Linked DNA regions of Macaca fascicularis. The protein of the gene in region 1 purifies or fractionates together with the protein of each later gene. This does not show direct contact. Links are inferred from orthologs where the notes say so. Each region holds a gene or a part of one and is shown on either strand. Other genes may lie near its edges.

Region 1 (4,855 bases):
AAAGCTTAAGAAATCTAACGTCGCAAAGCAGGAGATTAAATCATTCTTTTTAAATAAGGACTGAAGTTCAGAAGCATTTAATTTAAATAAGTGTATGAACACAAGGAATCCTTCCATACTACCTATTTCGAACGGACAGGGTTCTCCACACTCCTTTCCCAGACTTACACACAAATATTACAATTTGCAACCCATTATTTTCTCTCATGTACAAGTTTTTTTTTTTTTTCTGTTGTTTTTAACTGTATTGGAGTGAGATTATTCTAACTAGTAACCATTTATTTACTTTAAATATCGGTTGTACCAAACAATGACATTTTTTGGAAAGTAAACTTTATTCCACTAACATTAGCCAGCAGATTTTGCTAAACAATGCTTTGTCAGAAAAGGCATCATGGTCGGGCCGGTGGCTCACGCCTGTAATCCCAGCACTTTGGGAGGCCAAGGTGGGCTGATCACAGGGTCAGGAGTTCAAGACCAGCCTGGCCAATATGGTGAAACCCCATCTCTACTAAAATACAAAAATTAGCTGGGCGTGGTGGTGTGCACCTGTAGTCCCAGCTGCTTGGGAGGCTGAGGCAGGAGAATCGCTTGAACCTGGGAGGCAGTGGTTGCACTGAGACAAGATCACACCACTGCACTCCAGCCAGGGTGACAGAGCAAGACTCAGTCTCAAAAAAAAAAAAAAAAGAAAGAAAGGCATCACATAGATTCAATTTTGTACAACTCATTTTTCCAGTATGCATAAAAATTTATATCTGACAACAGAGAATATGCTTAACATAAACACAGCAATACCTTTCCACTTTGTTACTAATAACTTGCATGTTTTCTTAGAAATTTTAAATACCTCCATCTGAAAAGTATAGGGTAGGCTGACCACAAAAGATGAAGCCTAACAGTCGGTAGGGGTACCGCACTTACATAATATTCTAAAAACGTGCTTTTCTAAGTATTCAGTGACTATCACAGTAGCGAATATTAAACATTCCTGTATAAATCCCATCTCCTATAAAGTTGACCTAATTTCAAGCATAAAACTGAGGTTTCCACCTTTAGAAGGGTAGAAAACAAGAGTTAAGTAATTGGGTAGTCCTAAAAATACACATCACAACTACATGACTAAGATACTCATTTAAAACTTGTGCCAAGATAACCCCTCCCTTCCAAACTAAAATTGACTCACTGGCCTATTTTACTTAATTTTGGAAATAAAAAAATAAAACTAAATGGATTCCTAAGCACTCATTTCCTCTGTCTCTGCCCGCATCATTTAAAACATTCAAACTTTCAATCTGTGATTCCTCCCTGCAAAAACACTCAAGTAAAAACAAAACAAAACAAACACTCATTATCTCCAGGTTAACTACCTTGGAGTTAAAAAAAAAAAAAAAATTAGATTCTAGAATAACCACTGTTCTAAAACCATATGAAACAATAGAAACAATGTCTGTGGTCGCTAAGCAAACATATATCCCACCCAGAGAAGCGATCTCGCCTCAGATACTTGTCACCTGTGAGACCACCCCTTTAGCTAGAGTTAACCACTTGAGAAGGTTTCAATTTTGTCTCTGAAAGTGGGAAGCTATCAATCTCCCTACATGACTCGTTCCACCCTCTGTGGATATTTCTACCTGTAGAAAAAAAGGCTGGCAAACTTGGTGGCACAGTGAGGACAAAGGGCATTTTGAAAGAACCAGTGACTGAGGTAAGCAGAGAATGTGAACGGAAAGAGGGTTAAAGTTCCCCCAAAAGGATAATGACAAGACGCGGGCACCCCTTTTTTTTAACCACCCCTAGGGTCCCATTCTTCACCACCACCCATTGGAATGCAAAGTTGGCACTACTACTACCCAAGAAGTCCAACAAATCCTCAAAATGTCAGGGCACTCGGCAGCTTCTTAAATGACAAGCTGGTGCCCCTCCCCCACCCTCACCCCCACCCCCCCAAAAAAGAAAAGTCCAATCCAGTCGGTGCAGGTCACCCTGCCCTCTGGGGCAGTTCCAGCCTGCGCAGGGAGGGGTTCCGACCGGAGGACGAGAAAGCACAGACAGACCACCGCTCTTTCCACCCGCCCTCAGCTGGGGAAACAAAGACGGCCTCCTGCGCCTGTAGCCACTACCCTAACCAGAGAGAGACTCTCCGATTTCCCGGTGCAGCCTGCCCTCCCGCCCTCGCCCGCGCCCCCGCCCCCATGACAAAGAAAAGGCACTCGGCGAGCAAGGCCTTCCTGCCTCCACGGATGGGGGAGGGGGCTGCCGGGGTGAGGAGCCCCCTCCACTGGCCCGTGCTCATACTCCTGGTCCCAGGAACGGCAGAAAGCGGCGGGGAGCCGGAGGCCTCGGCCGCGGAGGCAGGGTCCGGGAGCGGGGGTGAGGGTACCTTGAAGTAGCCGCCTTCGTAGAGGGTGTTAGGGGGCCCGAAGATGGCCACCTCCCAGTTGTAGAGGTCGGACTCGTCCACCAGGGTGATCCGGAAGCCCTCCACCGGTTCCTCCTGCAGGGATTTCAGCTCGAGCATCAGGGCCTTCTGCGAGCTGGTCATCTGCTGCTGGGCCATCGCGGCGGCGGCGGCGGCGGCGCCGGGCCCGGGCCCCAGTCCTCACGCACCGGCCGGGCCGGACCAGGCCCCTCCCCTCCGCTTGCCCTCGGGCCGGGCCGCACCGGGCCCCGGTCTTCACACACCCGGCGGGCCGGACCAGGCCCCACACGGCCCGTGGGCCCGCCCGCGGTCCTCCTCACACACGACGCGGGCCGGGCCGGGCCCTTCTCCTCACACTCGGGCCAGGCGAGAGGAGAGGTCGAGGGAGTTAGGGGAATTCGCTCCGGGTCCCGGTCCCGGTCCTCCCCCCCCCAGGAGGGGGGCCTCAACTTTGGGGGGGGGGAGAGGAGGTGGAAGCGGAGGAAGGCGGCGGAGGGCCGGCGATGGTGAAGGGAGGGGGCCGGGCCGGCCCGGGAACGCCGCGCTCGCTCGCCCTCTCGTTCTCTTCGGGGGCCGTAGGGACCGGAGGGCGCGCGGGGCTGGAGGGGGTGGGGGGAGAGCGGCGTGCGGGGGTCTCGCGGCGGTGGCGGCGGCGGCTGCGCGGGGGGAGGGGCGACGGCGGAGGAGGAGGAGGAGGAGGAGAGCGAGAGCGCCTCGCGCCGCGGGAGCTACGGAGCCGAGAAGCAGGGAGGGAGGGAGGGAGGGAGAGAGGGAGGAGGGGCGCACGCCGGGAGCTGGGCGGCTCTCAGCGGCTGGCGACCCGACGCGCGTGCGCGCGCCCCTCCCTCCCCTCCCCCCACCGTGCCTGGCTCTTCTACACTACCACCTCCTCCTCCTCTTCCTCCCGCTTCCACGCCTCTTGGCCTCCCGCGCGGTCGCGGCGCTTTGTGACGCCGGCGCGTGTCCCCCGCCTATAAAGAGCCCAGAGGCAGCGGGGACCGAGGATGGGCGCAGGGATTGCCGTGGCCCCATAGTGACGGTTGTGCGGCTGGACGCCGCAGTTCCAAAGGCGTGCCCCGGAAGGGAACCCAGGTCCCCCGGTTCTCGGGGCCCTCCCCACTGTGGATCCAGGGGCCTCGGCAGCCATCCTGGGACGGGCCTGGTCGCTGCAGGCCCCTCCCTGTGACACCCAGTCTGCGGTCCCTCCACTTAGTAGCTACTTGATTAGGATGTGCTGAGAATGTGGGTCTTTTCCGTGGCAACAGACCTTCCCGCAGGCCAGCCCACAGGCAAATATGCCCTTGGGCACGTTACCCACCCTGGGTGCGGCAGTTCCACGTGAGAAACGGGGTAAGACAGAAAGGTCAGCTTCTGCTTCCCTTCTTAACTACAAAGAGGAAGTTGTGAGGAAAAAGAGACAATAACAAAGTGGGTCTCCTGCCCTTCTCATTGTGATTTGGGGCTACCCTTCGCCCTCCCCATTTGTAAAATTGTGCTTGAACTTTGACCCCTTATAGGTCCTTTTGGCTTGAATGTCCACCCTGGAACTGAGGGACTTTCGAGATAATCATAACCGAAATGAGATGTGGGGACAGTCTTTGGTCCCCGTGGTTCAGAATACAGTACTCCTTTCTCTTAGGAAGGCGTGTCCTAGGATAACTGCCTAAAAAACATTTCCTAGAAAAGCCAGAATACCGTGAGAGTTCTACACACACAATTTCGGAATCGGACAGATCTTGGTTCCAACCCTAGTTCCACACATTACTTCTCCCTGTCTCATCAGTTTTTTGTTTTTTTGTTTTGTTTTGTTTGAGACAGGGTCTTGCTCTATCACCCAGGTCGTCGCACAGTGGCGCGATCACGGCCCACTGCAACCTCCTCCTCCCAGGTTCAAGCGATTCTTCCACCTCAGCCTCCCAAATAGCTAGGACTACAGGTGCTTGCCACCACACCCGGCTGTTTCATCAGCTTCTGTAAAAGGGGATTAATTATACCCAACACAAGCAATTATAATGATTAAACGTATGTACAGCATTTAGCGTAGTGACTGGCACATGGTAAATGATTCATAGGAACTTGAAAGAAAAAACTTTTTTTTTTTTTTTTTGAGACGGAGTCTCGCTCTGTCTCCCAGGCTGGAGTGCAGTGGCCGGATCTCAGCTCACTGCAAGCTCCGCCTCCCGGGTTTACGCCATTCTCCTGCCTCAGCCTCCCGAGTAGCTGGGACTACAGGCGCCCGCCACCTCGCCCGGCTAGTTTTTTTTTTTTTGTATTTTTTAGTAGAGACGGGGTTTCACCGTGTTAGCCAGGATGGTCTCGATCTCCTGACCTCGTGATCCGCCCGTCTCGGCCTCCCAAAGTGCTGGGATTACAGGCTTGAGCCACCGCGCCCGGCCAGAAAAAACTTTAAGGCATAGCTGTATTATGGATACC
Region 2 (4,071 bases), on another chromosome or scaffold:
TTTATTTGACTCATGGTTCTGCAGGCTCTGCAAGAAGCATGGTACCAGCATCTGCTTCTGATGAAGGCTTCGAGCTACTTCTCCTCATGGCAGAAGGCAAAGGCGAGCCAGTGTATGCAGATTACATGTGAGAGAGAAGCAAGAGAGAGGGCGGAGCTGCTAGGCTCTTGTCAACAGCCAGTTCTCTCAGAACTAAGAGTGAACTCCCTCCTATGAGAATGGCACCAAGTCATTCGTGAGGGATCCACCGCCATGACCCAGACACCTCCTGTCAGTCCCCACTTCCAACCCTGAGGATCAGTTTCAACATGAGATTTGGTAGAGTCAGACAAACCATATCCAAGCCATTGCAGACCCAGACAGAACTCAGATGCCAGAATCATTTCCTGGCTATCTCCGTAATTAAGCATCATGCTTTTTCTCTTCTCTCCTAGGGTGTGGGATGTGAACACGGGTGAAGTTCTTAACACATTGATCCACCACAATGAGGCCGTACTGCACTTACGCTTCAGCAATGGACTGATGGTGACCTGTTCCAAGGACCGCTCCATTGCTGTGTGGGACATGGCTTCTGCGACCGATATCACTTTACGCCGTGTCCTGGTTGGCCACCGGGCTGCTGTCAATGTAGTAGACTTTGACGACAAGTACATTGTGTCCGCCTCTGGTGACAGGACCATCAAAGTAAGTATGTCTGCAGTCATAACCCAGCCTCCTCCTGTCCCTTTTAGAACAGAGAGAAAGCAGAGGTGGCTTATACCAACCTGGTACCTGGTAAGATCTTTATTCTCCTCTGTGCTTAGTGTAATGTTTTCAAGGTTCATCCATGTGCTTTGTAGCATCTATCAGCTTTGTCCCATTTTTGTTGTTGTTGTTGTTGTCGTTTTAAGTACAGATGGGGTCTTGCTATATTGCCCAGACTAGTCTTGAACTCCTGGGCTCAAGCATTCCTCGGCCTTCCAAAGTGTTGGGATTAGAAGCATGAGCCACCACACCCAGCCAGTACTTTGTTGTTTCCAGTGGCTGAATAACATTTCATTGTTCTTCTGTTTATTAGTTGATAGACATTTTAGTTGTTTCTATTTTTTCGGCTATTACAGATGATGCTGCTATAAATATTAGTGTAGAAGTTTTCATGTTTTTAATTTTCTTAGGATGGTAACCCTCTGTTTTAACTTTTTTTTTTTTTTTGAAGACAGATCTCACTCTGTCACCCAGGCTGGAGTGCAGTGGCACAGTCATGGTTCACTTCAGCCTTGACCTCCTGGGCTCAAGCCGTCCCTCAGCTCAGGGACCCCTGAGGCTCCCACCTAAGCCTCCCGGCGTAGCTGGGAGTACAGGCACTACCAGGCCCGCCCCCTGCCCTTTTTTTTTTTGTAGAGACCAGGTCTCACTTTGTTGCCCAGGCTTGTGGAACTGCCAAAGTGTTTTCCAAAGGCACTGCACCGTTTTACAGTCCTGCCAGTGGTATGTGGGGGTTTCAGCTTGCGCAAAGAACATCCTTTTCATGACCAGCACTGGAAAGCATTCTTACACCTAGCCCCACAAATCACAAAGTGTGTAGCATCAGGCTTTAGACTGGATAGTTGGGAAGCTAAACAACTAGGATTTATATGTGGCAGCTTACTCCCACAGTCACACCAATTGGTATGAGACCAGTGCCTGAAAGTTGAGAGGGTCTGAGCTTTATTACAAAACAGCTGTTTCATAATACCAGCATGGAGGATTTCTCCATATCCTCGCCAACACTTGCTGTTATTTGTCTCTTTTCTTTTATCTGCCCTAGTGAGTGTGCAGTGGTGTCTCTGGTTTTGCTTTGCATTCCCTTATTACTGATGATGCTGAACAACTTGTTGTATGCTTATTGACCATTTGTGTACTTTCTCTGGAGAAATGTCTATAAATCCTTTGCCCACTTTAAAAATTGATAATTTGTCTTTTTATTGTTGAGTTATAAGTTCTTTATATATTCTGGACACAAGCCCCTTATGAGATACATGATTTGAAAATATTTTCTCCCTTTCTGTAGGTTGCCTTTTCACTTTTTTGATGGTATCCTTTGATGCACAAATGATTTTAATTTTGATAATGTTCAATTTATCAAGACACTGAAACTGTATAGTTTCAGTGCTTACGTGTAGGTCCTTGATCCATTTTGAGTTAGATTTTTGTTTAAGGTATGAGGTAGATGTCAAATGCCATTCTTTTACATGTGGAGATATATTTATCTATCCCATTCAGCTGCAAATGCAGCTGTTAAGATAATTCAGGGCACTCTGGTTGCTGTGTGTCTCCTTATTTGTCTAATAATACATTGAGATGTCTATGAACATCTAAGTCTTTCAGATAATATCACAAAAGAGGGGATTATTTATTCTACATACATACAATTAGAAGTAATGTGTCAAAACAAATGGAGCTGTTCAAGAAAATATGCTGGAAAAGAGGATTATATGAAAGATGAAACTTTTTGTTTGTTTTTTGAGACAAAGTCTCGCTTTGTCACCCAAGCTGGAGTACAGTGGCACAAACACGGCTCACTGCAGCCTCAACCTGCTGGGCTCAAGTGATCTTTGCACCTCAGCCCCCTAAATAGCTGGGACCACAGATGTACACTACCACGCCCAGCTAGTTTTATTTTTTGTAGTGATGAGGTTTTACTACGTTGCCCAGGCTGGTCTCAAACTCCTGAGCTCAAGCAATTCTCCCGCCTCAGCCTCCCGAAATGCTAGGATTAGGTGTGAGCCACTGTACCCAGCTGGAAGCTTTTTTATTACATTAGCTTCATTGGGTTTGACATGTCAGCTGGTGTAAAAACATAAAATCTGGCCCAAACTCTTTCCTCCAGGTAAATGAATATCCAAACCATCTAGGAGATGTTCTCTTTGTAAAGATCTCAACGACTGGAGACTTCACTTCCCTCCGTGTTTCATTCCAGTGTTATTACTCAGCAGCCAAAGAAAATGTTATGCTGTCTAGTCTGCCCTCTAGCCTCCCAACTTTGAGTTAGAGGACACTGTATTTTATAATCACATATTTGGGTCATTCTCAGAAGCTGTCTTTTTAAGAAAGGTATATTGTGGGAGGACTTTTCCACATTCATTCTTTAAAATATTGTTAATTTGTTATACAGGTCTGGAGCACGAGCACCTGTGAATTTGTCCGTACTCTCAATGGGCACAAGCGAGGCATTGCCTGTCTCCAGTACAGGGATCGGCTGGTTGTTAGTGGATCATCAGATAATACCATTAGGTGGGTAGAAGTTGGTGTGCTGACAGAGCAGGCTGATTCTTGCCACGTTGTTGACTCATCTCCTGGTTCTAATGCTCAAAACAACTCAGAGTAAATGGGATGTTTCAGATAAGAAAGCTTTAGGTAACTTTTAGAAATGTATTTGGCTCTGTATACTCAAGTGGGAAAACCGTGTATGCCCTGGGTGGTCTTCCAGTGTTCCCCCAGTACATAAAGTTTTTTAACCTCAACTCCACCCAGGATCACTTAATATCAGAGCACTTCAGAACAGACTAGGGTGCTGCAGCCCAACTCGCTCTGACTTCCCTCACCTGTAAGCTCCCAGCTTCCTACCTAACACATGGGAGTGTACTTTATTTTTCTCTCCCAAGACTGCATTATGGAATCATCCATTCCTGCCGGGATCGTTTACCTCCATTTTTCCTTCCCAGCCCTCAGCCTCCTTGCTTTCTAATAAATCTAACTAACCTTAGACATTTTGTATCTTGTTAAGAACATGCCTTCAATATCTACTTAATTATCCCGTGCCATTTCCCCACTGTCTTAACACACTCTAGTGGCTTTACATAAGTGACTAAACTTAACTTTGGTTTATAATCAAATTGACTAATGTTTGGTCAAAATAAAGATAGGGTTCAAGATTATTAAAAAAAAATACACATACTAGTAGCTTTACATAAGCTTTACTAAACTTTGGTGTTTATAACCAAATTGCCTAATGTTCGTTCAAAATAAAGATTGGGTTTAAGATTATTACAAAGTTTTTTTTTAAAGGCAAGCAAATAACAAAAAAGCTATAACGGCTCTTTAAGTTTGCTT

Evidence for each region. Proteins that work in one complex are often made in the same cells at the same time.
Region 2: the proteins of UBE2R2 (region 1) and FBXW11 purify together in Homo sapiens (affinity purification with mass spectrometry; 4 studies listed by BioGRID and IntAct, with this or other methods). This does not show direct contact. The link is inferred for Macaca fascicularis from reciprocal best matches to the Homo sapiens genes UBE2R2 and FBXW11.

The regions. Positions count from the first base shown.
Region 1 is NC_088389.1:65,589,825-65,594,679, forward strand, and holds the start of UBE2R2 (ubiquitin-conjugating enzyme E2 R2), read right to left. Parts: upstream 3,168-4,855; 5' UTR 2,561-3,167; coding exon 2,384-2,560; intron 1-2,383. UniProt on the Homo sapiens protein: E2 ubiquitin-conjugating enzyme that accepts ubiquitin from an E1 ubiquitin-activating protein, and catalyzes its covalent attachment to other proteins by an E3 ubiquitin-protein ligase complex.
Region 2 is NC_088380.1:178,663,600-178,667,670, reverse strand, and holds part of FBXW11 (F-box/WD repeat-containing protein 11), read left to right. Parts: intron 1-434; coding exon 435-684; intron 685-3,133; coding exon 3,134-3,252; intron 3,253-4,071.